4 linked regions of the Drosophila melanogaster genome follow. The protein of the gene in region 1 interacts with the protein of each later gene in a pairwise test. Each region holds a gene or a part of one and is shown on either strand. Other genes may lie near its edges. The genes, in order: Lim3, CG32137, Nup133 and CG12496.

What was found.
Region 2: the proteins of Lim3 (region 1) and CG32137 interact in a two-hybrid assay, tested with the Drosophila melanogaster proteins (one large-scale study listed by BioGRID).
Region 3: the proteins of Lim3 (region 1) and Nup133 interact in a two-hybrid assay, tested with the Drosophila melanogaster proteins (one large-scale study listed by BioGRID).
Region 4: the proteins of Lim3 (region 1) and CG12496 interact in a two-hybrid assay, tested with the Drosophila melanogaster proteins (one large-scale study listed by BioGRID).

The regions. Positions count from the first base shown.
Region 1 is NT_033779.5:19,103,982-19,111,867, forward strand, and holds the start of Lim3 (Lim3), read right to left. Parts: upstream 4,447-7,886; 5' UTR 3,406-4,446; intron 2,295-3,405; exon of another isoform or gene 2,185-2,294; 5' UTR 2,091-2,184; coding exon 1,742-2,090; intron 1-1,741.
Region 2 is NT_037436.4:13,935,439-13,943,497, forward strand, and holds the start of CG32137 (uncharacterized protein), read left to right. Parts: upstream 1-3,811; 5' UTR 3,812-4,020; intron 4,021-5,231; 5' UTR 5,232-5,587; coding exon 5,588-6,037; intron 6,038-8,059. UniProt on the Drosophila melanogaster protein: Functions redundantly with BicD. Involved in formation and/or development of mechanosensory organs during metamorphosis.
Region 3 is NT_033777.3:22,686,888-22,695,272, forward strand, and holds Nup133 (nucleoporin 133kD), read left to right. Parts: upstream 1-3,719; 5' UTR 3,720-3,812; coding exon 3,813-3,988; intron 3,989-4,043; coding exon 4,044-4,218; intron 4,219-4,278; coding exon 4,279-4,782; intron 4,783-4,833; coding exon 4,834-5,146; intron 5,147-5,201; coding exon 5,202-6,040; intron 6,041-6,110; coding exon 6,111-6,789; intron 6,790-6,859; coding exon 6,860-7,401; intron 7,402-7,464; coding exon 7,465-7,839; 3' UTR 7,840-7,885; downstream 7,886-8,385. Other genes in the region: CG17625 (uncharacterized protein), read left to right, coding at 17-445; wfs1 (wolfram syndrome 1), read right to left, coding at 680-1,513, 1,566-3,130, 3,188-3,286, 3,346-3,409; cd (cardinal), read left to right, coding at 8,140-8,306. UniProt on the Drosophila melanogaster protein: Probable component of the nuclear pore complex (NPC). Plays a role in NPC assembly and/or maintenance.
Region 4 is NC_004354.4:2,407,093-2,414,229, reverse strand, and holds CG12496 (uncharacterized protein), read left to right. Parts: upstream 1-3,328; 5' UTR 3,329-3,433; coding exon 3,434-4,495; 3' UTR 4,496-4,865; downstream 4,866-7,137.

The sequences.
Region 1 (7,886 bases):
CGAGAAAAGTACACAACTACACTGCAACAAAAGAGCAGTAAATGAAACATGAAGGTTAGAAACAAGATTCAACATTACTAAAACTTCCAGTTTCATGAAGTGTGTAGTCAACCAGAACTCCAATCCTTTCCCTTGAAATGTGCCCAGATTTAATCATGATTAAAGTTCAGGTTGGTTAAGGTGTTTAAGATATCATACTGATATTATAATAATATATTATACTAAGAATACCTTAGATTTTCCGTTCCGCTTCAAATTGGACCTCTACCAAAAACGGGATAAGTCATTCCCGACTTACTGGATTTTTCCAAAGTGCACGCACTTTGTCAGGGATGCAGTGGATATTAGTGACACGTGGCGAAGGCTCGACCAAGGCGATCCGCAGGTCCCAGCACATGCGGTTTCCCGGATCCGTCCCCCCCCCCCCTCCTTTCCACCCAGGAATCTATATTTATTTGTTTGTAATTACGCGTGTTCTAAAAACGAAATCCCGCCGCACTTGAAGCCGGGAAAATGGCTAAACGGCTGAGCCTGCTCTTTTCAATGCCCGAAAACTTCGGCCGGGAACACACGTGCAGTGGACGACCGCCTCCACTGGTGACCGGGTATTCCCAGCGCATTAGCAACAATGCCGGAGACATTTGGAGTTTGTCAACAGTTTCGCATTGGATTTGGTTACGGCTTTGTTCTCATCAGCGGCGCGTGTCCCTGTCCGATGTCATCTTCTCCACTCTCGACGCGACTCAACGCGACTCGACGCGACTCGACTCGACTCCAATCCGCAGTCAGTTGTCAACTTTCTGGGCTGGCTTTTAGTCCGGGGATTGCCGATTGATTTGGCGTGGGATTTTCGAGTGCGGCACATGTATGAAACGAAATCATAAATGTGACAGGCCTGGATCATAAGCAACTCGCACAAAGAAATCCCTTTGACCATCCTTGAGCCATCTCAAGCAGCAATAAATCATCTCCTTCGGAGCCATTCACCATGCATATATCCTCAAAGAAAACTTTCTGCCGGAACTTTGCCAGTTATATATATTGCAGGAAGTCCCCTCGGACCATACATTTATTCCGTGGCGGAGTGCATAAAAAAGCAGGCGGTCCAACCGAGCAGCCGCAACACTGAGCCCTCCTAAAAGGGCATTCGAAATGAGCTGCTCGGAGATGTGGAGATGTGGAGATGTGAAGATGGTGGTCTGCCACCGGGAAAGCTTTCGTATTTAATTGAAAAACACTTAAGCCCCAGTTCGGAGGAGCCAAAGCCAAAGCCAGGCCAACCGCAAGGCTCTTATGTGACCCTAAAAGACCGACCTCATAACCCCAACTCATCTTCATCACAAGACCTTTCTGGTCGCTCATAAAAACAAAGGGCGAGCGCAAACAAAAACTTTGCATAATTAAGGCGCGGCCAACACATGGGCAAAGTGTATTCAAAGGGTTAACTTACAGCAGAAGTGAAATATACGGTTTTAACATGAAAACTGTATTCTCAATATTTACTAAAGCAAAATTAAGAAACCACGATATTTTTTAATGTAAATACGACTATTCTCTCTTTCATTTCAAAAATTGATAAATTGATAAATAAAATTCAAAAATGTAATCTAAGTTTGAAAACCAAACATTTTAATAATATACTATTCTTGGCAAACATTTTTGTTCACTGTGCAGGAAAATCTCCTAGGCAGCCTTCAGATGGACAGGACTGAATCAAAGATGGCATGACTTGGCCACTTACCCTCGAGCGCCCGGTTCCTGGAAATTAAGGCGAGCACCAGTTCGGGATTTGGGTCATCCTGGTCGACAGCCAGGTGATTGTGGTGCGGATGTTGCTGCTGCTGTTGCTGCCCACCGACCAGGTGAGATGCCTGCGGCGTGGGTGGCAATTGTTGCTGCTGCTGCTGCTGCTGATGGATATGCGGCTGATGTTGCTGGTGATTATCCATGGCTGACAGGTGCTGTTGCTGCTGCAACGGATGTTGCAGCTGCTGATGCGGATGTGGCTGCTGCTGAGGCGGATGCTGGAGCTGGTGCTGATGCTGGTGGTGATGATGTAGCGGTGGCGGTGGTTTCAGGGTTTGCATCATTGCTGAGGGGCCGGCGATTTGAACACGCGTCGTATGAGTTATATGTATATTTCAGTTAGCTTATTCCAATTGGCACACGTTTGTATCTTTAGCCCTGTTTGGTGTTTAAAAAGCAATCTTTGTGTTAGTTTACCGCACTCGTTTCCCGTTTAGCGTCTAAACGAGACTCCGCTAGGCGGGATCGCTGTCTGCTCGATAACTGGCATTGGTTTGTGCCCAACAGTGGCCCGGTTGACTGTTTTTCCCTTATCGCGGCGGTCTCTTTGGGTTTCGGTTTCTACGGTAGAATCTAGATTCCAGTCTTGCCACTCGGTTGGGCTCGTGCTCAGTGCTCGGCTGCTCTATCAGTTGAAGTAGCCAGGGACTTGAACAATTTGAATTTGTTTGCGATACCGGGGCACACTAGACCATCTATTGTTCGGGTGCTTTCGACCAAGTGCAAGGCGGGTAAACTTTATGTAAGCCGAGGATAGGGCCAAACTGATCGGTAGATATTCAAAAGACCGTTTGGCGCATATCTATTCATCGTCTATCACGAGGAGAATTCTCGTGCGAAGACAACAAATCGGATGTGCACTATACTATCTATCAAAAAACGGTCAATGTCCAAGGTTTTTTTATCAAAAACGAACTGCTAATGGTTCCCAAATCAAACAAAATAGTTAAAAAAAATTTTTGTGAAATATTATAACGTAGAATATTTGATAGCAAATATCCATTTAATAGTTTATCAGTATTTGAAAACTAGTTAAGATTGAAGATAATTTATTTTATAGAAATTCAAACAAACAAAATAGGTAAACAATTTATTTTTTGTGAAATATTAAAACGTAGAATAATTAATCGGAAATTTCCATTTAATAGTTCTTCAGTATTTGGAAACTAGTTAAGATTGAAGATCATATATAAATGAAACAAAATACTATGAAATTTATTTTATAGAAATTTAATTTTAGGAGCAAAGCTCCTAAGATTAAATTGAAATTAAAATGGCTAACATCGGGAGTTGGAAATCGCACATTAATCTTATTTTGATTGCCTTAAATCTTAAAACAAACAAAATCCAATCGTGTTAGTATTAAAATTCATATACTAAACATTTTAAAATCCTAAACGTATCTTGGTTTTGTAACTCTTCTCAACACAATTTGCTCAATAGACTTTTTTGTTTTAAGGATCTACTGTTAAAATGTAACATTCCATTTTTTAATCAAGCTGGCTTTCTTTTCAATAGTTCCTCAGAATTTTAGCCTTTTTATTGAGCCTTTCGTTATGCGACGGAATCGTAAAACCAGTGGAAATGATTTGCATTTACCCTATTAAAATTTTTTGCGTCACTTTAACACTCAACTCTAGTATTTGTTAACTTTGTTAATTATTGGCTGGTTTTTAATTTTCTTATTTCAACATTTCGTATTATTTCGTTTGAATTTTCTGCGGCACTTGAACGCGATTTTATGCGAACGCCATTTTGGCGACGGCATCGGCAACTTTAACGGTAACGGTAACGGATTCGGCAGCGAAAACGACGACGGCAAATGCGAAGCCAGTGCGACAAAATGGCGGCGGCATGGCTAACGGTGTTTGCCCAACGGTAAGGTAACGGTCTGGAAACGGTAACGGTGTCGGTAACGGTACGGCGGCAACCCTGGACGCGGCAACACTGGCAGGCGGCTGGTATTGTTGCTGGTGGGAATCCCCTCTATTTGCCGCGCTGCATCTTTATTTATTTTCTTGGCCGTCCAAACTGTCGTCTCTCCTTTTTACTTTGCGCACTTTTTCACGCTTTTTCTCGACTGTGCGAGCTTTTAACGCTGTTGTTTTTTTTTTTTTTTTTTTTTGTTTTTTGCCTTTCGTCTTGTATTCGTGTGCCGTTTGCCGTTTGCCTTTTGGCCGCCCACATGGGTACGCCGTGCGTATACGTACTATCTGTGGGTGTGTGCGGGTGTGCGGGCGTGTGTTTACCAATTGATCCTAATGTGACACAAATGATATGGTAAAATGCATACAGCCAGCCCTGAATGGCAGGACAACAATGGCAACAAGGCGGCGAGGCGACAACGCCAGCAGCGACAACATTTTTGTGCTTCTTTTTGGAGGCCGTGCGCATGTGTGTGTCGCTCTCTGGCGATGCCCATTTGCCCGAAAAGTCCAAATTCCAAGAGCATTACAATATTTGTAAAACGCAAAAACTTTAGCCTCGTCGAAAAAAGAAGGTGTGGAAACTTTTTTTTGTTTCCCTCTGCCTCAAGAAGCTTGAGCTGCAAAAGTGCAGGGGCAAAAAAAAAATGAAAAAAGGAAAACAGCACAGTGGGTAGAACAAAAAGCCAACCAACGTCGAGCGCGACACCTTCGTTGGCCCCAAAACAACAGTAAACAGCACTTAAAAGTCAGCAGCGACGTCGACTGAGGCGAAACAAATATGAGAAACTTAACTCAAAGGTCCAAGTCAATACGCGGCGCGCGGTCACCAAAAATGCGGGGTCTCCACTGGAAAACAGGCACCGCCCCTTTATATTGAAAATCGCTGGAAATCGGCCGACGATAGAGTCCAAAAGCAACAAGAACTTCCAGGCATGCGCAGGCAGTGGCCATTATCTTATCGCCCCAGCGTCGCCATTAAAATGGGGCTGGGGTGGCCATACGCTTCTATTCCTAGAGTTCGATGTCGTTCCAGCGCCGGCGCACTCGAAAACCCAAAGCTGGCAGGGTGATGGGAGAGGGGGGAAGTTGCTACTCCATGCCCGAGTCACCCGTTGCCCATGAGTTCGCTGTATCTGCATAGGATTCTCGCTGTCTGTGTAGTTTCGGAACCCCTATATCTATAGTGGATACTTGCCACCCGTCCCGAAAACCCCTTAAATGCGTTGCGTCTGCAAAAACGATTTTGTTTTCGCATTTATTTATGAGCCGCTTAGAGCGCGCCAAATACTTTGCCAAACACTTTGAACCCCAACGCCATGCTCGAGAACCCCACGCCCCCGCTCCCAACGGATGACCTCCGCCCACCCACCGAAGTGGACACTAGCAGGGAAGGTCGTTTGTGGGTTGGGTTCCGCGCTGCGGCGGAGCAAGGAACGCGAACAGCTGGAGTGCGTGGGTCGCTCGAAAAGTATGCCCGGTCTGAGAAAGTCTGCATAAAATGCCAGATACAAAGTACGTATAAATATTAGAAAAAAACATGATTCCATCTTATGCTGTAAAATGTATTACTTCATACTTATACTAAGACTTTTGTATCATCATCATTTACAGCTTGCCTGTAATATATATTGGATACTATTACACAGAAGCTAAACTATAAACTGTATAAACTATATTACATATTTCCTTTATTAAACATTCAGCATTTTCTTATTGGGCTTTCGTTACGCGTGCGGAACAACACGAAAACACGGCATACCCTTGAACCCAACTAGTACCGATTATAAAAAAATATAGGGTAAGAGCATAAAAATGCAGCGTGACCCTGAAACTGAAACTGATCGTGAATGGAAATGGAAATGGAAATGGCTGATGAAACCGATGCACTCAATCCAACGCGATCCCAATCTATGGCATCCCAGGCGGAGCTTCACTTCCGCGGTTACCAAATCGACTTTGACTTTCAAATTTTCCAACGCTTTTGTCGCAGACGTCTGTCTAATGGAGCCGTTAATGGTTAGACACATGAAGTATTTTGCCAAATGGGCTCGACTTGGGACGGTTAATTGCTGATGATGTGATGATATGGAACCGGATCGGCAGTGGGTTTTGGGGGGGATGGCGGAGATTTAGTAAGCAGCAGTGCTAGTGTTTGGATAACACATTTTAATAGACAATTAACAAGCAGTTTGTTTAAATTTTCTTCACCGACATTTTTAACTTTTGTCCGGCGATCTTGTTTTCGCTATTGTGTCTTTTGGTAGTTACATAAACATAAATCTCGGCAATGGGCCAGTCAGAAAGACAAAAAACTTGCTGCCACTGCACATTTTCACACATAGCCGGATTTTTGTTAACGTTGTTGGAGTTCCCCCCCAAACTTTTTATTGGAGGGTCTCGAGATTCGGAGCTCATTGAGACTTGGTTAAAGCGCAGCCAGCTCATTTGTAGATTCGAATGTCAGCGGTGAACAAGTGCGGAACCAGCGGAGCGGCTAAATACCCAAATTCCCCCCCAAAGTAAATCGCGCCTTTTTTTTTGGATTAACCAGGATCATGGACTTTGATGAGTTCCGTGAATTTGGCCATGCCTCCATCGAGTTCCTTATCAACTATCTGAGCGGCATACGTGAGAGGTGTGTGTCTGGACTTTTATCCTTGGAGCGATGCCTCTAAATTCTGTGTTTCTTCCAACAGGGATGTCCTGCCCAGCACGGCTCCATATGCGGTGATCAATCAGCTGCCCAAGGAGATTCCCGAGCAGCCCGATCATTGGCGCGAGGTCCTCAAGGATCTGGAGAACATCATCCTGCCGGGTCTGACCCACTGGCAATCGCCCTACTTCAATGCCTTCTATCCGTCATCCTCGTCGGCGGGCTCCATCATCGGTGAGCTGCTGATCGCGGGCATCGGAGTCCTTGGATTCAGTTGGGTAAGCTATATACATATGTAAATGGTGAAAAAATCCAGCAGATTCTCCTTTTTTTAAATGAATATTCATATTAAATACGTGCGTGAATGTGAATGAATTAATGTGGAAGAACAATCATAAGCAACTTTCTTCATTGTGTTTTCTTAGAAAAATGATATAAAAAAAAAGGTCAGTTAAAACTTAAATTTCATATAATTACTTAAAAAAACTAATTGTATCTGAAAAGTGTTGCCATGATAATTAAATTCGGATAAATATAGCGAATATACACGTTTGATTAGCTTATGATCGTTATATATTAAAAACTATTAATACTGAACTTTTTTACTTTTTATTGTGATAAAGAGACAAATTTGAAAGAGTTTCATTTTAAGAGCCTTAAATTATTCACACGTGAATTTACAATTATTGTTCATTAGAGTCAACAACAATAACAACCAACAATAATCAATTGGTTTTAAAACTATAATTTCTGTCATCAATTTGCCTAAGAGAGAGGGGCTAAGAGAGCGCCAACCGACCAACAAAAAAGTGGGAACAGTTTGTGACCCAAAGTGATTTCCCACCAGCTATTGTTCGAGTGTCGTTGGTAACAAAATCTTTTGGCCAAATCAACGCAACACTTGAGAAATCCTTATCGATTCAAAGAACTATGCGATAAATATGCTCAGGAGATAGGCACTCAACGATTAAGAAAATTGCCAAGTAATTGTTTTTCTATAAATATATGGCACGAAATATACGAACCCAACTATAATCCCGGTGACCGATTCGTTCCCTAATCTCGCAGATTGGACACGCTTCACAAATCACTGTGCAGAGCAATCGGATATAGGTATTTTCGAAATTAATAGCTAAATTGAAAAAAAAAGTATTTGAATGGCACTCTCGTATAAAAGAATAAACCTATTACTATATACCCCTTTGTGTAAGTAGTATAAAATAGTACACACTCCTTTCTATAAACTTTCAACAGTATTTTAATGTTTTGATTATGTTAATTGAACAAACTTCGCATTTGAATTTTAAAGTATCAACGAATCAAAGCTAAATTAGTTAGATCAAAAGAATAAAACAAGTCAGTTGCGCCGGTTTTTAATGATTTCTCAAAACTAGCCAGATTGGCTGAACCGACAGCTCTGGAGGCTGTCCAGAGAAGTCGGAGTATAAAAGGCAGCCGTCACCGGCGATCGGTTTCAGAGTGAACCTCAGGCAACTTGG
Region 2 (8,059 bases), on another chromosome or scaffold:
AGCTTAGGTTTTCTCATGGGGCAGCAAGAAATGAATAGGAAAACATTTGCAATTACAAATAACCACATTCTCCATTTTAATTATTAAAATAATTTTTTATATAAATAGTTACCGCAAGCCCTTTTTTACATTTATGTTTTAGTTTAACCAGCGTAACCTATAGCTAAATGGAATATAAGAATCTAAAATGAAATTATACGTACATATATAGATCTTAATTATATTTTTTACAATTTTTTTAAAATGTGAAGACTTATTCTGTCTTATAAACATTTTGCTTTCCGCAGAAGATTACTCACATGTTTTTTTTTTAATTTTTATAAAAAAAGTAAATAACGTATTGCTACACACCAGTTTAAAACCGCCTGATATTTTCGAGCTAAAAAATAGTTATAAAAAACAGAATACTTTTTTGCTGTACATTTGTGGTGCGGCTTCTGATGTGTGTCGCCTTGGTTGCGGAGCCCATTTGACCAAAAAGTCATTCTCACGCCCAGCTTTCGGCCAGCATTTGACCTTTTTACGGTAGTTTGTTTATGGCCTGGCACTGGGTTTTGTAATACGGTTGCTGTTTACCTTTTCGGCCATAACACTTTTTTTTCTTTTTTTAAAGTGGGCTCGAGCGCAACAGGCGGCTTTAAGCCGGACTTCTCGCTCTGCTTGCAGCGACCGCCAAAGTGACAGATCCTTCACCAAATCACCAGAGTTCACCACTGTCACTGACACACATATCTGGTAACATACCTATTCTTCTCCAGCTCCAGTTCCAGTTCCACATCCAGTTTCAGTTCTTTTTGTCGCCGCAGAAACCAAAACTTTTGACCATAAAACGCCCGGTAATGCCCCAACTTGTTGCCGTTGACTCATGCCGAGCGCTAAAAACAACATAATTATTGTACATATTAAAGACTTGATGTATGTGCGCACCAAATTGTGGACTAAACGACATGTGGTATACCCTAAAAAAAAAACAGATTAATTCATTAGGAATTTACTCGTAATCATTATTCATATAACGTATGAAACGTAGAACGTATGCATGTTGTATAAACCAGAGATTCCTCTAATGGTATGATATATGATGGTATATATATGGTATATGATATATGTTTACTCCCTTATCGAACAGATATGTTAAAGCTATCAAACTGATAAGTATATTAAAACTGATAAATATTTCAAGGTGCATAAATCGATTGAATTGTTTATATTAGCCTAACTACGATGGCTTGACCAAAATCACTAATAATTAAATGAAATTATAAATTGATTAAATTCGAATACAGTTCTCGAGGTTTGTTTTTCATTCGCTGTAATCCTTCAAGTGTAACAAACTCCATGGCCAAGTGGAATTTCTATGTTATTTCTGATTTGCTTGGAAAAAAAAGTGACACCAACATGCCAGAAAAGTTAATCAACCTCCCATAAGAACAACGCAAAATAAAAAGAAGCAGAAGTAATTAAACAAAAAAAAAAAAACTGCGATACAATGCAGAGCAAGAGCAAGACCGAAACCAGTTTAGGTGGGCTAGGTGGCTATGCTATGGTACGGATCGGTATGGTAGCCGTGCCCCAAGATGGATGAATGGATGGCTGGAGTGCCGAGCTCAACAAGAGCGAGAGTGTAAGACAATAAGGCAGCTCAAGAACACTTGATTGCAGGTGAACTGCAGCATGGAAACCGGAGATGAACAGAGCCACGAAGAATTCCAACCAGATGCCCCACAAATGTTCAAAGGAAGACACGCCACTAACCCTTCCTCATTAGGCAGTGCGGCAAAGTTATAGTTATAGATCGATCTGCGCCGGAAGCACGGAAGTTTCACTCACTGGCCAGCGAAAATCAAGTAAAACACAAAAAAGTTAGTTACGCCTGGTTAGGCCATCATCCGAAAGCTCAATTTGGTAAATGGCCAAACAGTAGCCCATACAGTAGCCCAACATAAACAAGCGGCCACGCAACATCAACATTATGGATGGATCTGAAGGCGGAGACGGTGATGGTGATGGCGTTGGCCACCAAGAACAATGGTCTGGTGTCGGTCTGAAGCTCATCTTCATCTTCACTTGGCCCGGCCACTTGAGTGTCTTATTGTGCATGTTGTTTGAGAAGTTTGGCGCTGGGCGGTGAGGAGCCGGCATGACTCTGGTTTAGTACCACGCACTAGACGGTCTGACCATGTCTACGGCCCCCTCTTTAGAAATCTTCCTCACTTGGATGCACTGGAAACATTGGGGTCACATACTTGTACCTATTTTCATTTTCAAAAGCAGAATGTGCTAGAAGTATGATTATAGGGTATGTGATAGAATATTTCATTTTCATAACTGATTTTCAGTAATTAGTACTGATCTCTAAATAAATTTTAAAGATACATTTACTTTGAGCTGTATAATATATAGATTAAATTCAGATGTTAATGAAACAATTTGAATATTTTTTACAGCTTGTAATTACTTCCTTCCGGAGCACTTTAGCTTTTTAACATAGACCATGTCTACGGCCCCCTCTTTAGAAATCTTCCTCACTTGGATGCACTGGAAACATTGGGGTCACATACTTGTACCTATTTTCATTTTCAAAAGCAGAATGTGCTAGAAGTATGATTATAGGGTATGTGATAGAATATTTCATTTTCATAACTGATTTTCAGTAATTAGTACTGATCTCTAAATAAATTTTAAAGATACATTTACTTTGAGCTGTATAATATATAGATTAAATTCAGATGTTAATGAAACAATTTGAATATTTTTTACAGCTTGTAATTACTTCCTTCCGGAGCACTTTAGCTTTTTAACATAATTTCGATGCCTAGAGCAAAATGACCGCGAATCTAAAAATTTGAAGAAATAAAGTTCCTGCAAACATATACCCATTAATTGCTTAGTGTATACCCATTGTTATTGCCATTCTTGGGTGCCCATTGTTTGTGTTCTTGTCGTATGTAAATTTTGCATTGAAATGTGTACGCTTGGGTACATGTGTGTATGCACGTCGTGGTTTTTGGAGGTCCAGGTCTCTGGCCCTCCTCCCTTTTGGCCACGCTCCCCAGTGCCCCCCTGCCCCATTCGAAACGTCACTCCGTTTCATTATTGTTCACTTGGCCGCTTTCGTAAGTCGGGCCCAATGCAAAACAAACGGCGAAGAGCAGTCAAGAGAGTAGAGCCGAATCAACCATATGTCAGTTAAAAGGGAAGGAAGTCGGAGCAAAAGAGCGCCAAGTGAAGCTTACCTTTGGAGCTGTGTTTTGGTTTTACCAGGGTTGCCAGGTAAGAAGCGATTTCATGAAAAATTCATCCACAATGCTAAGGCTTAAATTATTTCCTTGTAGATTTTAGATCTACATTTTTAAAGTAAGATTACTGCAAAATCTCTGTCCAAAATAATCCAAGTAATCATGACATTTTATTTTTAGGTTTGGCTATCGAGATTTGCCTAATACGATATGCCTATCAGTAGCTGAACAGAAAACCAGTTTTCCAAATGTTTATTGACTTAAAGAAGATATCTTAGGCCATAAATAGTCTATTATCAGTTATCTGCGTCCTAAATTGCAATTTGCTATCTTAGTTGCTTTGTAACCAATAATATTACTCGACTGCGATTATCGCCCCTGCTTCGTTGCTATTATTCGACAACCCTGGTGGAACACTGGTAACTCTCTTTGTTAACCGCCACCTAAGAGAGCCAACCGATGTTGTTGGTTGTTGTTGCCAAGATACGAGGCTTAGCCAGTCGTTCGTCGTCGTCGTCGCTTGGTTACTCATTTGTTTTGCCAATTTTCGTAGCACGGCGGCCTCAGCGCCATTCAGTTAGTAACGAACGTTCGCGCCAGACACACGTATCCGCCACGCCCCCGCGAAGCCGCCCTCTGAAAAGCTGGGGAAAGCCAGAAAATCGTAACCGAAGCGAAGCGAGCGCGCGTTGTACGGCATCGGAGAATCCGAAAATCGGAGAATCGGACATCGGACATCGGAAGTTCTGCTTTGGAGTGGAGCAGCGTCGTCGTGACCGAGGTTTCTGCCCTCATACATATACGGATATAGTTAGCTATATATATATATATACAAATAGTTTAAAAGATATATAGGGCCAGACTGTAGCGCGCTTGCGAAAGTGGAAAGTATCTGCTGGATACTTTGGATACTTTCCGTTTTGGGGGAATTAATTAGACCAATATATCCCATGCAATCCGCGCGTTATTTTTGTTGTTTTGTCAATAATAATGCCAAACTCTGGCCAAAAACGGCATATATAAGCGGAAATGCAAAACAATAATACCAACAATTTGAGCCAAATCGGTTGTGTATTTGTGAACTGTGCTGTCTGTGCTGCTTCCAAAAAAAAAATCAAAATAAAACGAATAAAATAAAATAAACACAAAGCGCACATAAATAACAAAATAAGTGTTGGCTAAAAGCTTAGCCTGAAGCGTATTATACATTTTAACAACAGTTGCTGTTGCTACCAAAAGCAGCTAAGCGTGAAGTGCTTGCCAAATGAATTTTCTATATAACAAATGAAAACGGCTAAAAAATATATATAAGTTTAAAAAAACCGGACCAAATTTTAAACGAGATCTGTGGACTTTGAGAGATTCTAGCCACCTTCGTTTGGCTCTATTGTTGTGTTTAGTTGGCCGATAATGTTTTAAAAATCATTTAACATTAATTGTATATATATTTGGGTATTTCGAAATTTAAACCTAGAGCGGAGACTCATACTAAACTCATTGGTACATCCTCGCTAACTAAAGCAACCTCTGTAAATAAACTTTTAATACCCTTAAATTTAATGGAACTACTACTGAAGTTCTTTTTGGATAATCTGCCTTAACAGCCTTATAAATATCCACCCACCTGTATAAATCCACGCATGTCAATACGCCCCCCAATCCGCAAGAAACTTAAACCCTATTTGATATCCAAGCCGCATGAAGCTTAACTAAAGACTAACTTAACCCTCTTGCTTAACACTGTAGTTATATGTTATCCCCCCCCCCCTGCCCAAAACACCCCTGACCCTAGCAAAACCAAAAACCGAAAAAAAGCCCCAATAACAAGTAACTAAAAACGTGCTGGCAAACGCTCAACGTGACCGTCGCTCCTTTTGGCCAACGATTAGACCCGTCTTGGCGGGCATACATATATATATATACCACATTTAATGCTAATTCTCATTACGGCTGTGTACTTATACTTATATATCTAACCGAAATCAACTGCAGCTCAAACACATCAGTCGCTTTAACCACGGGTCTGCTCTCTTTTGGGAGCAGCTGGTGTCCATGGAACTATGCTCGGATATATCATCGTATCGCCGCGCCAGCTAATGCTAATCCTACGACCAGATCAGAGCCATCTGAACACCTAACCAACGATAAACCCAACTACCAAAATTGTGATCTCTGCATCGCACTAAAACCTAAACTGATATTAATTGCATCCAACTTACTGTGCGTGTGTGTGTGTGTGTTATGTCTGTAAATTTGGTTCGTTGCTATTATCCGTACCCGTAATATCACGTACACACCATACCACACCTACCCGCCTGAAATAAGTCCAAGCCTGCCCGCTAACGATCATGCATAAACCAAAGCTAGCGAATGCTATAACCGCTGCCGCCATTGCCTCATCCATATCCACCAAAAACAACAACAACAACAGCATCGTCGGCGGCAGCAGCAGCAGCAGCTCCGGTGGCAACAAATCGAAGCGACCACGTCAGTTTGGCCAATACTCGATCGGAGTTGGAACTGGAGCTGGAGCTGGGGGGCTACTCCGGTCGGACGACTCCGGCTTCGACCACCTCGACTATTCGTCACTAATTGGGGATTCGATTGATTTAGAGCACTACATCAGCGCCATGGAGGCACGTCGACACGACCAGGAGCCGGATGTTTGGGCCCAGCTGCAGCAGAAGGAGTCGGACATCCTATTGGCCGCCGAACTGGGCAAGGCACTGCTCGAGAAGAACGAGGAGCTGGTCAAACAGCAGGAAAAGCTCATCGAGGACTATTCGAGCAAAATTGAGGTGAGTCATGAAACACATATAAAGTTAACAGGTGGAATTGCCATTATAAATGGCAAACAATTGAAATGGAAGTCAGTTATTTGGGGGAAAGGAAAATTGGTTAGAATTAAAAGAAATTTAGGAAGAGGACATATAGCTTGGAAGGTACTTTAGTGACTTAAAAGATAGGCAATGCATATTATACTTTAATACACTTACAATTTAAAAGATCATAGAGATGATAGTTATGTATCTCTTGAATATGGTTAAGCAGCAATTTAAAGAATTGGGAAATGAAAAAATTAATTTTTGTTATGTTTTCTAAATGAATGGAAGAGATCTAAGCACTCTTTATTATTAGTTTAATGATATCTTGCTTATTGAGGGAATGCTTTCATGTTCTTTTATCTCTATTCTCTATCTGATTTACTAAAGTGTGAGCAATAAACAAAATAATCACTTTGCTTCTATCTCTATATTAGCTACCAATTGTGTGAAACCAACATTTGTAAATTCAGACCCATTTATTATTTTCCCTTTTTAAGCTCCCTACCTTTTCCTCTAATGATTTCTTGAACAATCTAATAGTTATCTCTAAATGCCGGCGCATTTATCAAATCGGCAACGGCAGTTATACCTGAGTACCAGAATTTTGATTGACTCACCTGATGATTTGCATTGATTATTGGCGGACATGTGTTCGTAAATGACCCCCTCTATTGACGCATTGCTGGCATTCCCAGGTCGGGAGAATTAAATAATACATATACAATATGGATTTTTTTCGAGAGCTGAAACACAGCACCTGTCCAATGCAGCTCTGTAAACTGAACACACAAACTCCCCAAACTGTCAACTGCAATTTATATTGTGGGGTGGGTTCTTTAACTATTTAGACAAACAAAAATGGTTACAGTCATGTCACTTTATGGACGATGACATACTGTGTGTGTGTGTGTGCGCAGTAAACTACTGAACTATATAGTGTATCACGTAAGGGTATCGATTTTTGTTCCATCACAAGTTCTACCCTACACATTTTGTATGAAATAGCTGAAGAGCTCTTCTGAAGTCTCTCTAAAAATTGGCTTTATCGAGCACTTTCCTGATAACATGGCAGGAAAAGCAAAGTCTGTTCACAACACCTCCAAATGTTTCCAAAGTCTATGTCTGCCGCCCGACCTTGAACCGCTCGAATGGGTGGTTTCTGTGTGGGTGGGTGCGGTTCGTTCGCCTGTCACCTGTTCACACACACGCACACACACACACACTACAGATACTTCCAGGTAACTGACAATAGAAGAAATAGAAGAAGATAGGTAAACATAAAACACCCGTTCCAGCAATCGCTCCAAGTGAAGTTCAAGCCGCGGCTCAAGTTCGTGGCCGTTCACATTAGCATATTGGTTGCCTCAAACTTAGTTACCTCGCTTTTCCATCCTGAACCGATAGTTAGGCTAATGTACTTTTGTTGACCGACCGGTAAACAACAATGTATTCTTATCAATTAGGCTTCAACGCCGATTAATGGCAATTCAATGCACGAAAAGAGAACAGGAAATGTGAGGATGGTTTGGGGACCACCTGATGGTGTGAGTAACCCAAACAGAGGACACAGCAATGCGTTGAACTTGAATAATTTCGTTGGTACATATTTTCCGTGGGTTTGGGCCATATTTACGTAGTTGGCTTAGTCACTTTAACTGGGTTTTGTATTCTCCTTTTTTTTTTTTTGCTTTTGTAGTTAAGCACGTTGAGTGACTTCATCTTCATTGAGAAATGAAAGTGCGAAGGCCAATTGCGGGGGGGCTAGTCGCGTAATATCCTGGATATTTAGTCAGATGATGTCATCGTGAAAATTTTGTACATATGTTCGAGTCTTTTTGAGTCATTTTTGATATGCAAAAACTTTTGTGCAATGAATTTTTTATTGAAAATCGAGAACAACTCCATTGCTTATTAAATTTATATGCCCTCATTGAGTTTAAAACCAAAATTATACAATATATATGTATACATTATACATTGTAAATATCAAACTAA
Region 3 (8,385 bases), on another chromosome or scaffold:
TAATAGAAGAACTAGGATGTGTGGACGGGCTGTGCGCGATTGGTTGGTGCTATTGACCATGGAGAAGTACATTGGTAAATTCCTGGAGCGGGGGTACGACAGCATTGAACGCTGCAAGCTTATTATCGTAAGCGATCTGATCATGCTGGGAGTGGATAATCCCGCTCATAGGAAGCTCCTGCTCGAGGGAGTCCGGTTCTTGGTCAACGCACCCGAGCAGTTCATCTGCAAGGAGCCGTGTGAGCTGCATGAGGAGATTGAACTGAAATTAGACCCGGATGTTGAGTTGTTTGCTTCGCTAAAGTGCCTGGAAAATGTTGATTTCCTAGAAACACCTGTTCCATATTCGCTAACATCTCCACAAAAGACGCTCACAACTCGGGACTCTTGCAAATGGAATGTCAAAGGTGTGGATCAGTTACCTTCCGATAACATATTTAACTAAATACAAACAAAGCAAAAAATAATGCGTGTGATAAGGATCTTTATATATTTTTAAGAACCAATAAAACGACAATTGAAAAGCTGTTTTACAACACTATCATAATCAACCAATATAATTTCGTAAATATTTTTCAGTTTAAATAAATACATATGTATCTATTATATTAAAGTAAAAAAAATGGGGTGAGCAGATTACAAGAAACTCATACTCCTGTGTTTTTTAATTTAATGAAAATTACTTAAACGTAATTAAAGGATTCAACAAAGCGTTCAACAAATACTTGATGCCTCTCATCAAATCTTGGAGGCGTGCATCCATGGGTGAAGCGGCCACCACTCGCTCGATGCTGGCCGTACCCAAATCCCGCGACCGGCACTCCACACACTCGATGGTTTTCAGCTTCACCTGCACGTTGTCAGCCAAAAGCCGAGAATTGTGCAGGATTCCATAGAATAGTACAACATCGCCCTCGCTTAGGAGCCGTGTGAAGTTCCCAAAGTCATGGTGAGCTCGTAGGATAACATCTGTGGTGGTGGAACGACCCAGTAGACGGCCACTCCTCTTGGTGCCCACCTTGACCAGCAGCTCGTACTCGTAGCGATTCCATCGCTGCAGTGTGCAACTACCGCTCTGAGCATTGAATGTCTTGAACACGCTCCGCCACTCCTCGCACTGCGCATCCAATTTGGGATCGCATTTGAAGTGCTGCGATATATTCTCGCCATGCAAGCAGCGCAGCATCCTGCCCAGCCAAACGGGCAAATAGTTCGCAATGGTATCCTCCAAAAAATTGGACACCCGCGAGATTTCCACTTTGGTGACGCTGCCCTCCCATATCACGGGCATTCCATTCAGAAGGGAGCAACGCAGCTGGGCTTTTATCTTATTCGGCTGCTCGTGGACAGGTTGAGCACAAAGTGCATGAAAGCGATCCCAGGGCAGAGTATTCGTCTCGGAAAGCGAGTGCAGACCCGCTCTGGGCATGGCATTGAAGCGCGGCGTATCCTTAAAACTCGATGTCATATAGGGTAAGACCAACAAGCACGCTGTTGTGATCGCCGTGATTAGCTGAAAAGGTATTAGTTAATATATGAACAAAACCTTACCATATTACACTTACCTGCAGCATTGTAATGTATTTCTGGGTAGCTCGGTTAAGCGCCAAAATGCAGGACAGGACCACTACCAGCCCGCAGGCGAGAGCTGTGCTGCCCCACCGAAGCTGCTCACTAGCCAGTCCTAAACTATCGATGGCCACGAAGACAGGCACCAGAAGTGCCACGATTCCGAACAGAGGCAGGAACAGGACGATTCCAGCCAAGCCGAGGGCTGCTCGCATCACTCCAAAAACGGTGGAACTCTGCGAGGTGGCTATGCACACTTGCAGCCAACTGAGCGTGACGCAGTGCGGGATGAGGAATGTGTAGACTCCATGCCAACGGGAGCGTTTGGCCATCATAATTAGCAGCACCGGAATAAAGAGATACAAGGCAGTGCGGCAATTCAAACAGAATTCAATGCCATTGCCAATGACAAACGATGAGAAAGTAGGTACGCGTAGGTCAAGAAAGCGCCAGCGCGTAGACACAACCTCGTCCATTTCGTACGGATATTTGGCAAGAACATTTACGGCAAAGGAAACAATCACTAGCCAGTCAGGCAGTTGGTGGGAGGAGGCGTACATGGACACGCACATGGTGATGAAGGTCAAGGCTCCAGAGATTATAGTCAGCTCCGAGTGTGGCAGCCAGGCGTCTGTGACCAACGGGTAGACAATCAGGTTGCAAATGAAGGCACAAAAGAAGTACAGGTACGGCTTCATATTGTTGCGTAAAAAGCGATGCTCCGCAATGTCCGCCTCGATGTTCTGATCCCCGTAGCTCAGGAACAGTCCCGACCAGATGCGAAAGTCCACGAACTGTTGTTTGGTTTTCAGCATCTTACACGTGGCCCAGATCATGATGCCCAGACTGAGATAATAGCTGACCAGGGGCAGCATATGCCGGCTGCTCCACCAAGAGATTGCAACGAGCACGCTGCAGCGCACGCTCAGAGGGATGACGTTGGGTATGGACACAATCAAGTTAAGCAGCCGGTGGTAGAACAGGGTGAAGAAGATAAGCGGGTGGAAGATCATGCGGTAGAAGCAGGGTACATGGTCCAAGCTCCTAGGATCCGGGACGGATAATGTGAGAGCATCATTAACGCTGGGCATTTGTCCGGCACTGTAATTGGAAGCTGCCGAAACGAGGTGAGCTTCGGTGATGAGGCGGCGTCGCTCCACATTGGCTAGGTCAATGGTGGGCACATCTTCGAGCGGTTCGCACTCCGGCTCCTGCTCGCCCTCGCTGCTCGACGAGGAGCGGTCATCATCGCGTCGACGCCGCTTGCGTTGCAGATTGTAGATGCGCCGCATTTTGCGCTCCAGCTGCTTGGGCGTTATATGCTCGTTTCCATTTGATAGGCAGGCAAAAAGCTCCCGGGCTGCTTTTCTGGCAGCCCGCTCACCAGGCGTCATAGCCAGGCAGCGACGCACTTCGTCCGTATTCTCTGCCGTAATACCGCTGCCATCGTTGTAGCACTGGCGTAGCAGCTTGACTGCATCCTCGTGTCCATTGTGTGCTGCACTCACCAGCCAGTTGACGGCCTTCTGGCTCTGATTGCCTTTGGCAAGATTGGGCTCTACTGCGGACATAGCAATCTTCATTATCTTGTAATTCTCGAGCAAATCCTTACACTCACCTATGGAATTATCGAGTAACTCTTTGGCCAGATCGTATTGCATCTGGGGGCATCCCTCCTCGGCGATGTGATGCTTAAGTTTGTTCAAGGAGGCACGATCTGTAAGGGAAAACATCTTCACTTTATGAACGTGTATCAATCAAAGCTCAGAGATTTACCTTCCAGATTCCAACGCCTGCGCTTGGTGACACCTGTCGGCTCATTTTGCGTCCAGGTGGCCATCTATGTCGAGTTTTTCGCTTTGTTTACGAAAATCTATGAAATAATTCTAGTCTTGACTTAGCGATGGCATCGTGTAGAACTTGTCTTAGAGATGGACTCACAAATATTAGTTAATATAATTATTAATTTAAAAATTTGTTTACCAAAGTTTAATTATTCATCGTATATAGTATATAAAATACATTTATGTAGTATAAATAATTTCCTATATTTAAATTTGTGTTCTTTGTGTATAATGTCGTGACTTCTAATCGATAAATAACTCAAATGTACTCAGCTGTGATTTCGATATTGCGACATCAAAAATCGATTCACACACATGCCGGCTAGATTGTTTGCTGTTGCAAAAGTAGTTGTTTATTTTTGATTTATAGGCATTTCCCAAATAAGAGCCAGCACAAAAATGGAGAGAAATCTGCAGAAGCAATTATACGGCATATCGCGCGAATCTTCACCAGGTGCACGAAGGTACAGCATGCCAGCAGCCTCGGCAGACAGCACGCGTAAATCAATTTTTGGCGGCAGCGCCAGTTGCGCCCAGATGTCGGGGAGCCTCAAAAGGACTGCCCTGACCAACAGGTATGTGCTAACTTATTCTCCTGGAATTTCCCACTCATCAAACAATCCTTTTCAGCCGGCTCAGCTTGTCGGTGCGTTCCACTCAGTCCATTGCCGGCATCCGATCCGATTACAATTCGGTAGAGAGCTTCGGTTGTCCACTGCCGGTGGTGGTCAATGAGGCACTAACCTTCGCAGGTCCAGGAGCGGGCACAGTAACAGCCAAAGTGACGCAAAACGGTTGGGCTTGGGTAATATATCAGCAACTCTCATTGTATCTGGTTCAGCAATCAGTACGATTACCTTTTCAGGTTGTCCAAGGCAGACGCCTCTTGATTTGGCAGTATAAGGACACGGCCAAGTCGGGCTCGCCACCTCGTGTGGGCAAACTGGCAAGACGTGGTGGTGGTCTGGCCCAGTGCCGTGAATTGACTTTACCTTACAGTGACCTGGGTCACAAGAGTGATTTAATCAGTGTTTTCCAGACGGAGGGTCAGCAAATGGCCTCCTGCATAGCGGTATCAGCCACGGGAGAAGTTCGGTACTGGTCATCGATTGCGCACGATGGGAACTCCGTGGATCTTTCCATCTTAACTGGCCAAGAGTTTGTCCAGCTGCTCAGTCTACCAACGCAGCAGGGCTACCTAGCCGTTACAACCACCTGCAATCTGGTATTCCTGCGAGTCGGACTGACCAACGGACGTTACACACTTCACCATAAGACTATCAAGCCTGCCACTAGCTTCCTTGGTGGTTTTGGCAAAAAGTTTGCCTCCATTTTGATTGGAATGAACACGGGTGCAGACAAGGATCAAGTAAGTATCTTCGTCCAGCATGGGACAAAAATCTCATGAAGTGTTTTTTAGACTTTGGTCGGCATGTGCTGCGAGAGCAATTTAGAAAGTGGAGAAACCATTGTGGCCGTGCTCTCTGATCGTGCAATCCAGCGCTGGAGTCTGTCCAACAATGGCAACACCGAAAACCTTCTGTACGAGGATGCGGATATGTTGCGCAGGATACGCGAAGAGTTTATAACGAACTTTTGGAAGTTCCGACTCCCAGCGGATAGTTTGGAGATCGATCTCCATCTGTTGGACTTTCACGTGGTTAAGAACAAAGCTTATATACTGGCTGGAGCTGTGAATGCTGCTCACGCTCCACAAATGTGCTACGCTCTGGGTAAGAAGTATGTGACAGCAAATCTTGATATGGTATATAATGTTAAGTATTTTAGTGACTGGCACTGCTCAAGCTGAAAGAATGCTTCTGGAATCGTTCACGCCGCTCAATATGAACAAATTCTTTAGTGCCAAGACTGAGGAGGATTGCCTCAGCGTGCGTTTTGTAGTAGGCAGCAGCCACATCTATTTGTATACTTCTAAAGTTGTGTATCCTCTGCACTTGACCAACTCGGTGCCGACAGCAGAGCTAGAGGCGGAAAAGATCGAGTTCCATCAGCACGATGATCGCATTTTGAGTGCCGTCATCTGCAGCCAATTGCCATTGTTCTTTAGTCGCACACATGGCCTAGTTTCTATTACACCGGGCGATTTTGATGGTACTGAAATGATGAACATGAGCTCCTGCAACACGCCAGATTTATATGCTCCCAATTCGTGTAATGCTAGTTTCGCAGTTGCCGATCATTCTGCTTTGACTAACAGTACTAATAATCTTCACCTTTTCGAACTGGATCCGGATGAAATGTACAACGAACTAAGCGATGAAGTTGGTCAACTAAAGGCAGCGTTCCTATATCACATGAAACGCAACAGCAATATGGTCAAGACGATCGTCGATGAGCTGCTTCGTAATGTCACTGCAGCCGATCCAAGTGGTGCACCCATGGATGCTTACAAGTTGGATCGAATTGTTATTACCATCGCCGAAGACTTGGCGGAGGATATACCAATAGCCGATCCCCGATGGGAGGAGGCACTTGCAGATCAGGAAATGAATAGGCATGCCATCGGCAGCTCTCGTTCAATGCAGATTATCAACCAACTAAGGGACAAGATCATTGCTTTCCAGCACTTCATAACGTTTCTGCATTCCAGTTTAGTTTGGGACAAGGTATAAGGACAAAATATTTATTTGTTTATTTATTTGATTTTGTTAACAAAATCAATACTTTTCGTTCCAGTTAAATGTCATACCTTGCGGAAGCCATTCGCTGAAACCCACCGGCTGTATTCTAGCCGATATCAGCGAGAAGATAGTGGCTGCTATGGCTCTGCGATCCATTCAGACCAAACTGCCCAAGCTGATTGAAGAGGCTATCGATGCCACCGTAGCGTTATGGCATGAGGAGCCTCAGGGCAGCCTAACTTACCAGGATATATTTTACGTAAAGCTGTCTAGGTTTCAAAACGTGTTCGAGGCCCTGGCGGATATTGCTGACGATCGAATCGCTGCTCAGAATCAGACCACCATATCAGTGGCCCACTTTGTCAACGAGATAAACTCCATTGTCCTAGACGTTTTGGGACAAGTGTTCAAGTATCGAAAGCAGCACGCAAGCAGCTTTAGACTGAGCCACGAAAAACTACCTTCCTACGAGAATCTACCTTGGACTGCGATGGCTGGCAGTGCGGGAGTTCGTGACACGCTGACTCGCCTCATTGACATTAGCGTTCGCTATGGCAGCCACTGCGTTAGCGAGACTGAGCTAAAGCAGCAATTGTACCAACAGATATTCGAACTAATTGATTTGGTTTTGGACGGACGGAAGACTTACTTAAAAAGCGTGCGCGACACGGAAAAGTTCAATGTTCTGCAGCAGCAGTTTGAGGCTCAGCGAAGGGAACTCATCTCCGTGCTAAGTAAGTTGTGTATTCTATTCATAATTTAAAATTCTTAAATATTTCTTATGTCTTTTTTTTTATTTTGTAGTCAAAGATCGCCAATACGAGTACGCCGCAAAGATCGCCGAGAAGTACCTCGATTTTCAGAGCCTGGTGCTTATCTGCGATGAGACGCAGGACAAGGAGCGACTGGAAGATTACACCCGCAAGTACGAGGAATATGACTTCTCACAGTTTGCCATCAATTGGCATCTGCGCCAGAACCGGCACGGCGAGGTATTCGAACGCTTCAAGGGCAACCAGACGGCTTTGGCTCAGTTCATGCGTGACCATCCGTCCCTTGGGTGGATCCAGCTAATATTCAACGGCGACTTCGAGCGGGCGGCCAAGGTGCTGTACGAGTTGGCCCAATGCGAAACGGAGTTTGTGGCGCGCAAGAAGTCTATGCTGTCGCTGGCCAAATTGGCCGCCTTCGCGGCAGCCGAATCCGATTTAACTGCCCAAGTTGAAAAGATCAACGCAGATCTTACGCTGGTCGAATATCAATCGCAACTGGGCCATGACGTACTGGAAAGCTTTGGCTTCGATCCAGCAGAACAGAAGGTGCTCAAGGCAGAGGAGATTATCAGCGTAAGATTTCACAAATTAATATACTTAATTCACTTATAAATATTACCGTCTTATTATCATTAGCTTTACATCGCCGAGGAAAATGAAACTGCCAGCGAAACGGAATTCCGTAAAGCTTTGGAACTTCTGAGCTACGTGGAACAGCCGTACGACATGCGGCACAAGATCTGGTGTGCAGCTATAAAACGCGATAACTGGACGGACTACGATCCCAACAATGCGGTGCATTACATGCAGAAGTTGCTCTTTTACAAGATCATCGAAATCTCGCAGCTGATGGGCAACGATTCCGAGAACGTTTTGCCACCCATGGAAGACTTTCTGGAGAGCGTGGAGCTCGGCGATTTGCCGCAGCAGAAACCGTTTCAGTATCTGTTGAAACTGACCTATGAGTATGTGGCCGACATGTTCAAACAGCCAGACGACATGGAACTCTAATCAAGCACCTCACATGTCTTTCTATTAAAGTTTACGTTAAGAATTTAAAATGATGGCTGGTGTTCTTGGACGGTGGACAGTTGCCTGCCTTGTTGTTGCGTCGCTCAAACGCAGGCATTATAAAATATTATAAACTAAGTTGCTTTGTCACAGCCGGTCTCTGCCGGCGAAAGTATCTGAAGTGTGGCGAACGGAGAGTCGGAAGCCCACCAAGTGTGTTCGGGGCAACTCTAGAGTCGGCCTGACTGGCAGCTGTGCTGTTTGCATTTGTCGCCGGTGCGCATCAGTTTAACTTTGATTATGACGGACGAAACAACGCCGCTTACCGATGCCGTTCCCAGTGGCTCCGGATATGTTGTCCTGCCGCCGTATCAGGGACCGGAGCGTGTCTTTCCGGGTGGTGTTTCTCCGCGTGCGCGACGCAACAAGATGCGACAGTTCCAGTGCTGCATGGGCATCACCTTTATGTGAGTGTGAAACGAAGAGTTGGAACTGCGGCAAAAGAACACCTATCCTTAGAAACTATTGCTATAGGCTCTAAATTGT
Region 4 (7,137 bases), on another chromosome or scaffold:
TCAGGATCTCCGTCCGTGCTCGCGCTTGTATTTTTATATGTATCTGTATCTGTATCTGTATCTGCTCTTCATTATGGCATCCATTGTCTTGCGCTGTCTGCCTCAGACGCATCCTTTGGGTGTCCTTTCGTGTGTTCCAGTTTGCGCTGCCTCTTCTTTATTTTTTCAGGGTCACAATTCGAGTCTCAGTCGTCGTCCTTAGGAGAGCATCCCCCACCCCAAATGGCCAGGATCCGTTTGCGAAACTGTCTCGTATTTGACAGTTGACAGTTGGTCGACTTTTGAGTTGGAAAGTTATGAGCATAAACATGATATTTGCCAGGGGCCCGTGTTGCTATTGCCATTTGGCAATTTATCCTTTATATAGTGCCAGTCATTTTTAGTCCCCTGCCGCCAGCGAAAATGCCAGCGTAAAAGTTATGAAATCAATTAATCATTTCAGCTCATTTATGATTTAATGGCTTCACTTTTTTGTGGTTTCCGCTTAGAGTCGTAAAGCATGAAATCCCCACAACCTTTTCGCAGCGCGTTAATGAAGTCGCAAACTGGCACTTTCCTACTTTCCTACATTCCTACCGCCCAATGCATCGCATGGCAATATGCGAACTTTCCCCTTTCGCAAACACTTTCCCTCCATTATGCAAAACGCAAACAAAGCCGCGCGACAAGCATTTGATACACTTTGGGCACTTTGAATGCCATTTCAGGCGGCGCGCAGCAAATCAAATATCGATAAATTTCGCAAACAATACAAACACGGGCGCATTAATCAAATGCGGCAACAATAAAGCAGCCCTATCTGTTGGATCCAGCCAAAGTGGCCGATCTGCATGTAAGCACATATGCAAAGGCGTTCGAAGGGGAGGGTAATAGCGATCGAGCCTGCCAGAGACGTTCGAGTAGCTAATTCACACATTCAAGGGGTAAGTAAGCCTTGTCGCTCGCACTTAGCACTTGGAATGCACACACAATTGTCCAAGTAAACACGACTAACTTACAACATATGAGCTTAAAACATATATCGCAATCAATGGGCTGTTAACGTCAAGTCCTAATCTTAGGAGGTGCTACCTAGTTACTCTTCACATCTTAATGGTAAACGGGGTGAGCACGCATCTCTAGCGGATTCGCGAGTTCGCATTCGAGCATGCAAATCCCTCTGGAACCGCGGCGCAGGACCTCAGGAGCGCAGGACCTCGGGACGACGGCTGAGTGAGAGTGAAAGTCAAGTGGCTCTTGGCGACGCGCTCTCGCTCGAGCACGCGTGCAGGGGAAAGGGACGGGAGATGCAGCCCGGGCGGAGCGGTAAAAAATGCATGGGCAATTTGCATACAGCGATCGGGACTGGATCGTGACTTCGGGCTGTCCTTGAGGCAGGGTCCTTGGGCTCGTTAATTAAGCGTAAAATCGTCGCACACGAAATGCCGAAAATTCAAATTGAATTTGAGAGGTTTTCGTGTGGTTCTTTATCCATTTGTGTTTCGTTGTGTCCCAAAAAAACCGCAGAAAATGCGAGGATTATGGTAATTTTGTGTGGAAATTGCCGGTGAAGACTAGCCGGGATACGCCTTGTTAGGCAGGATGCTCGTTAAATCATATTAATCAACATGCCGGAATCCTTTCTTAGCGCTGGAAACTCTCTCAAAAACCCATTTAATCCTTTTGTGCGGCTGTGTAAACAGCAATAACTCAGCGCCACAAAGAGAATCGAAGGACTCGGGGACATAACGAGGGCAAATCGAAGGGAAAAGAGGTAAAAAGTAAGCAAAAGCAGGAGCGCATTTCGCAAAGTAAACGTTGAAAAAGAGTTGAAAAGTTGAGAAATTCGCCATTTCAGTGGATGGAACGGGGTAATCGATTAACTACCCCAGCACCCTTTTTGTGTCCCTATCCAGGATGAAAGCCGATCGGAAGATAGTCACATGAAAACATATGAAACAAAACGACTTTCACCACAAAAAAGCCGAAAAGGATAACGTGCGAAATATACGATCCCCGTTAGCGAAAATCTTTCAGCAATCGATCGCAAATAAAGATATCTCCAGGGGACCAGAACCCATTCAAAGATGCCTTTACATGCTGAACTAGATCAGAACGTCAGATAGCAAGCCACGTCGGTCACGGACACTTTGAGTGATCCAAGTCCAGGAGATGACGAGCGCCGATCACTTGAACGTCACTTAGGATCGCTGGTCGATGATCACTTGAAGATCACTCAGGGATCTCGATGATCACTTCATCTACAGCTGGTCAAGAGCCACATATGGGGGCAGTTATCTTTGATCTTGTCATCGGAAATATAATCTACTTATTGGTTCCATATTTCATATTCATATGGAGGACAGCGGCTGTGCTTTAAAATATAGATCACTACAAAGGTTATGGGAACCATTTCCTTTTACATTTACATTTCAAAGTTAAATCCATACAAGTTGTGAATTTGCATTGCATGAGGCCCATCTATTTGTAGAAAGAACACTTATTAAAAAGTTGATAATTTGATAATGCATACTGTGTACAAACTTTTCCCCTGTTGGGTGAGCAACTGACGCTTTGCACAGGACTTTTCCCAGAGTTTGTAACGTTTTTCTAATGCTTCCTTCCGGAAGTGGCAAACATTTTCAATTAAAGCCGCCGAGTATATAAATTGCATTTGCGGCCGCTAAAGAGCCGCAATTAATACTGATACCGCGCTACGACAAGTGGCTAAAATGACGAGGAGCTGTCGGCCAGGAAGTTGGACTTGGCATCGGCTAATTAGCCGGCCAACCTGACTTCCCTTCTCCCTTTTCCGTTCACTATTTTCCAGCCTGTTGCTGCTCTAAATGTCCATTCAAATGAGGGGGAGACAAGGGCGAAAGGAAGCAGACTTCCTTGAGGGGAATGAAAGCAAATTTAATAACCAAGCGCTGGCCGATAGACATCTAGATGTCATTTTCGTGTGGTGGTGCTGTGGATGAGTGCCTGGATTGGAGTGGGTGATTCTCGGCCGGTACTGCGAACTGTGGGAAAGGACGAATACCTCCAATACCTCCATCAAAATATCAGATCTCGTTGGCATAGAGATCATACTTTCATATTCTAAGCTAAGCTGCTGATATCCTCGAGCTTGTTGCTCAAGTTCCTCGAGATCCAAAGACAATTTGCTACCACACACATCCGTTGGCCAAAGAGAGTCTTTTCATCCAAGGAGAGAACGCCGGAGAGAGCGAGTGTCCTTCTGCCCGCCGGGGTGCCTCTTGCGCAACAACCCCTAGCCCCGTAACCCCTAGCCATTAACCCCTGAGCGCCGAGCGGGTATAAAACGCAGCCCGCTCCCCGTACCGCTTCAGTTTGTCAGCGAGAGCGGTCGAGAGCAGAAGACTAGCAGAGTCTAGAAGTACATCTTTTTTTTTTGTGCACCAGGAGCAGCAGAAACAGAACCACACACAACATGCTGAAGTGGACGGCATCGGCGCAGCGCCTGAACGAGATTCCCGTGCACGATCAGGATGCCAACCAGCCGCAGAGGAGGAGGCTGCAGAGGAGGCAGCGCCGTCAGCGGAGGGCCACCATTGCCAACAAGGAGAACGTGCCTGACACCGTGGGCTACACCTCCACGCCAGTGCCCATTACCCGGCTGCGCAACAGTCCCCTGGTCCTGGCGCCGCTGAGCGATATCCGGAATGTCACCCCGGAGGCGGTGGTGCGCAGTCAGGCGCCCCAAAGGGTACAGAGTGTGCGATACGCCACCACATTGCCACGTTTTGCCGAGGACTACTCGCCCAACGGACTGCCCAGTGGTCAGCACTTGGCGCTGAGGGGCCTGGCTCCGTTGGATCCCTTTCTGGGCCAGCCGCGCTATATTGTAGGCTCGGGTGCAGGAGTTAACAAACTCAAGCAGCGTAGACTGGACGAGGACTTTGTGGCCACCTTGGAGCCGGAGTTGCAGGAGACGGCAGTGCCAGAGCCACCCACCCCCAAGGTGGAAGTGCGTCCAAGCACACCGCAGCCCGCCTCCACGCAGATGGGTGATCAGACCTTGGATCGCCTAATCGATGCCATCTTGGATTCCGCCTGCAAGGCGAACGCCAGCAGCAAGAAGAAGCCGAGAAGGTCCACCTTCAATCTGCGCAGACGCACCTTGGTCAAGCAGCAAATGGAGTCGAACTGCCCCCAGGAGGTGCTGTCGCCATCCTACGCACCTGGAGACGATCCGGCCTCGGATCTGAGCTTTGGCCTGGTTCCCCTGCCCATGCACAACCTGATGCCCACTCCGGAACCGGCATCGCCCCTGGCCAAGATTCCTCACAACTTGCTTGTCCAACTGGCCACTCCAGTGGCCCCCAAGTCTGCCCCCTGCGACAACACCTTCTGCCTGGAGACTCCAGTCAAGGCCCTGAAGAGGACCCGCAAGGAGATCGTCGCCAAGGAGTCCCCCATTAAGCGCTACAAGGTCGACGAGCGCAATTACTTCGAGGTGGGATTGGCCCTGCCCTCGTCTATATATGTCTGAGCAGAGGTAATTTCAAACAGATCCTCGGAAAGCCACAAAAATGAGAAGAGAAACTAAATGCGAGATGGAGATGAAGATGGAGACGAGAAAGCGAGCAACGCTGACAAACGGGGGGAAAACGCTTAACTATGACGCTTAACTAGTTCCTAAGTCGTAAACTAATCATCTTTCAATTACTGTACATAATTTCTTAGGCCACCTTAATCACTATTTATTCCAATTACTAATATAACCATTTTTTTTTTTGCTGCTGTTATGTAGTTTTCGAATATACCTTTTTTTTCATTATTTAATTTTAAACAAATATGAATATTTATTGCTACTTTAAGTTACCCAAATAATTATTTTTTCAAAATAAAAGCATTAAATCAAAAACAATGGAGTACACTTTTCTTTTCTTTTGAAACGGGGAAAACTTTATATATCAGCTTATCATCATTAATGTCGCTTTTTTGAGTAACTTTGGCTACTTCCATGCGTACTGCCCAATATAGGGATATGGGATTGTATTGATTTCAAAATGGTGATATTTGAAAAAGACTAGACTATCTTCATAGTCTAGAAATGTTTTCTCATGTATCCATTGGAATCTACTCTTTAAATGTTAGGTTTATAGTTGGTTTCTGAACTATTTTCGAGATACGAACAAATATCATTTTTGTTGTGCCATAGCATCGCATCGAGTTTTCTGATGAATGCGAAACATCTGCGGTGACCTTCGTCACCTACGCAATATCCCAGCTCGTGCCGATTGCATTTTGACCTGCCGATACGTACAACATATATTTACACAGTTGCTTGACCAAGCGATTTGCTTTGCTTTTCCAGGCGACCAAAACAAACAACGGCGATGCAGGTTGGGAACTGGGAATAATTGAATGCCTGACAGGTACAATGGCACGCCCCGGGATCTACAATCAAGAAGAAAAGAAGAAGTCAGAGGCAGCCAACAGCTGGTCCACTCCTTGTTTCCGAGGACTCAGGACTCTGCGTCCGCTGTGCTGCTCAATTGGCTATTTTCCCATCGAACTATATGACGATATGTTATTAAATATTCATTGTGACCGCTTTTAAAGAGAACACATTTTGCGGACACTCGCTTATCATAATTTAAATCCATTTCAAAATCATATTTTACAGCAAATGAACTTTTTAAAGTCATCGAAACGAAATCAACCCCCGATTTTCGCTTTTGTCTGCGAGCTTTAGAGCTTAGAGTAATCCAACCAGAAACCGTTTTGCACATATTAGTATCCTATTAAAAAAAAATCGTAGGCACCCTTGCAGATGTCCATGTTTCGAAATCAAATTATGGAAACTGCAGTGTTCTGCTAGATCATCCGTGAAAAATCTAGCTATGTTTCCATGCTCCGACTTTTGGCACACACGTCATCTCTAATCCTTCGGCACATGACACTTGTTGGCACGTTGACGCCCTCGCACACACTTTTTGGCACTGTAACTCGATTTGAGTGCGGTATGGATAGTATCCTTTACCTATACTCATAACCATGCCAGTACCTGTCGCTGTTCCGCAGGAGCCCTACTGTAAAATCCCAAATAAGAAGACTTTACTCGTTGAGTTTTTGTAAGAAACTGATTTTATTTGGAAATATCTTTGGTTTAAATAGGTGACATGAGAATCGCATCTTAAAGTAAATGGCCTACGCAGAGGCCTAAGTAAATAGTCCCCGCCTTATCGAGGTCCCACGCTCGGGCACATCTGCCTATCTTGAGCGGCGAGGACCTTATCTGTGGTCTCCCACTAAGGGACTATTTTAGGAGGCGGGGAACGATCTCAAGTGACTGACTCATGTAGTGTGCACTTAAATTACATGTTTTTGAGCAATGCACCCATGTCGCCTTAGATAACAAAATCCTAAATATAATTTATCGCTCTCGATTCATTTACATAAGATATGAACGGAGCCCAAAATTGTAAGTCTTTAAATATATTCGTGTTCATGTGTGAACATTCTGCCAAAGGGCCAGCAAGCTGAGATGTACATTAGTATATTAGTTGCATTTATAACAGTAGTGGACTGTATTTATTTGATATATGTTCATTTATTTTGCAACTAAGATTTCAATGGGCCTAGTTTTTCTGGCTTTTAATTTTATTGGATTACAATTATGGTTTATATTATTTTTAATTCAACAATTTGTACTCAATTAACTTATTTTAAACATTTTGCTTTTTCTATGTAGAAGTACATTTTCTATTAAACAACGATATAGTGGACTGTATATTTTTATTTGTTATATTATTTTATTGTTTATTTACTATTGATATTTATAGTACTGGCAACGGACCTGCAAAGGTTATTGCTTGCATTCTTTGTTGCACAGCACATTTCCGTATGAAATATATTATTAATACTATCATTAGTATTAAAGCAATAATTAATCCAGCATGTCCGGAAATATGATGGAAATGTAAATCTTTCAATTTTTGATGGTTCTCTTTCATAAATTTAATTTCATTATTCAATCGTTCAAATTCCTCAGTATGATTTAATATTGATAGTTTCAGCGGATCCCAAATAATCTTCGGCGCTTCACTAATTTCTCCTATATAAGGTGTTGATAATAATTCTTCACTTTCGGACTGAATGTTATGGTGGGCAACTAGAATTTTATCG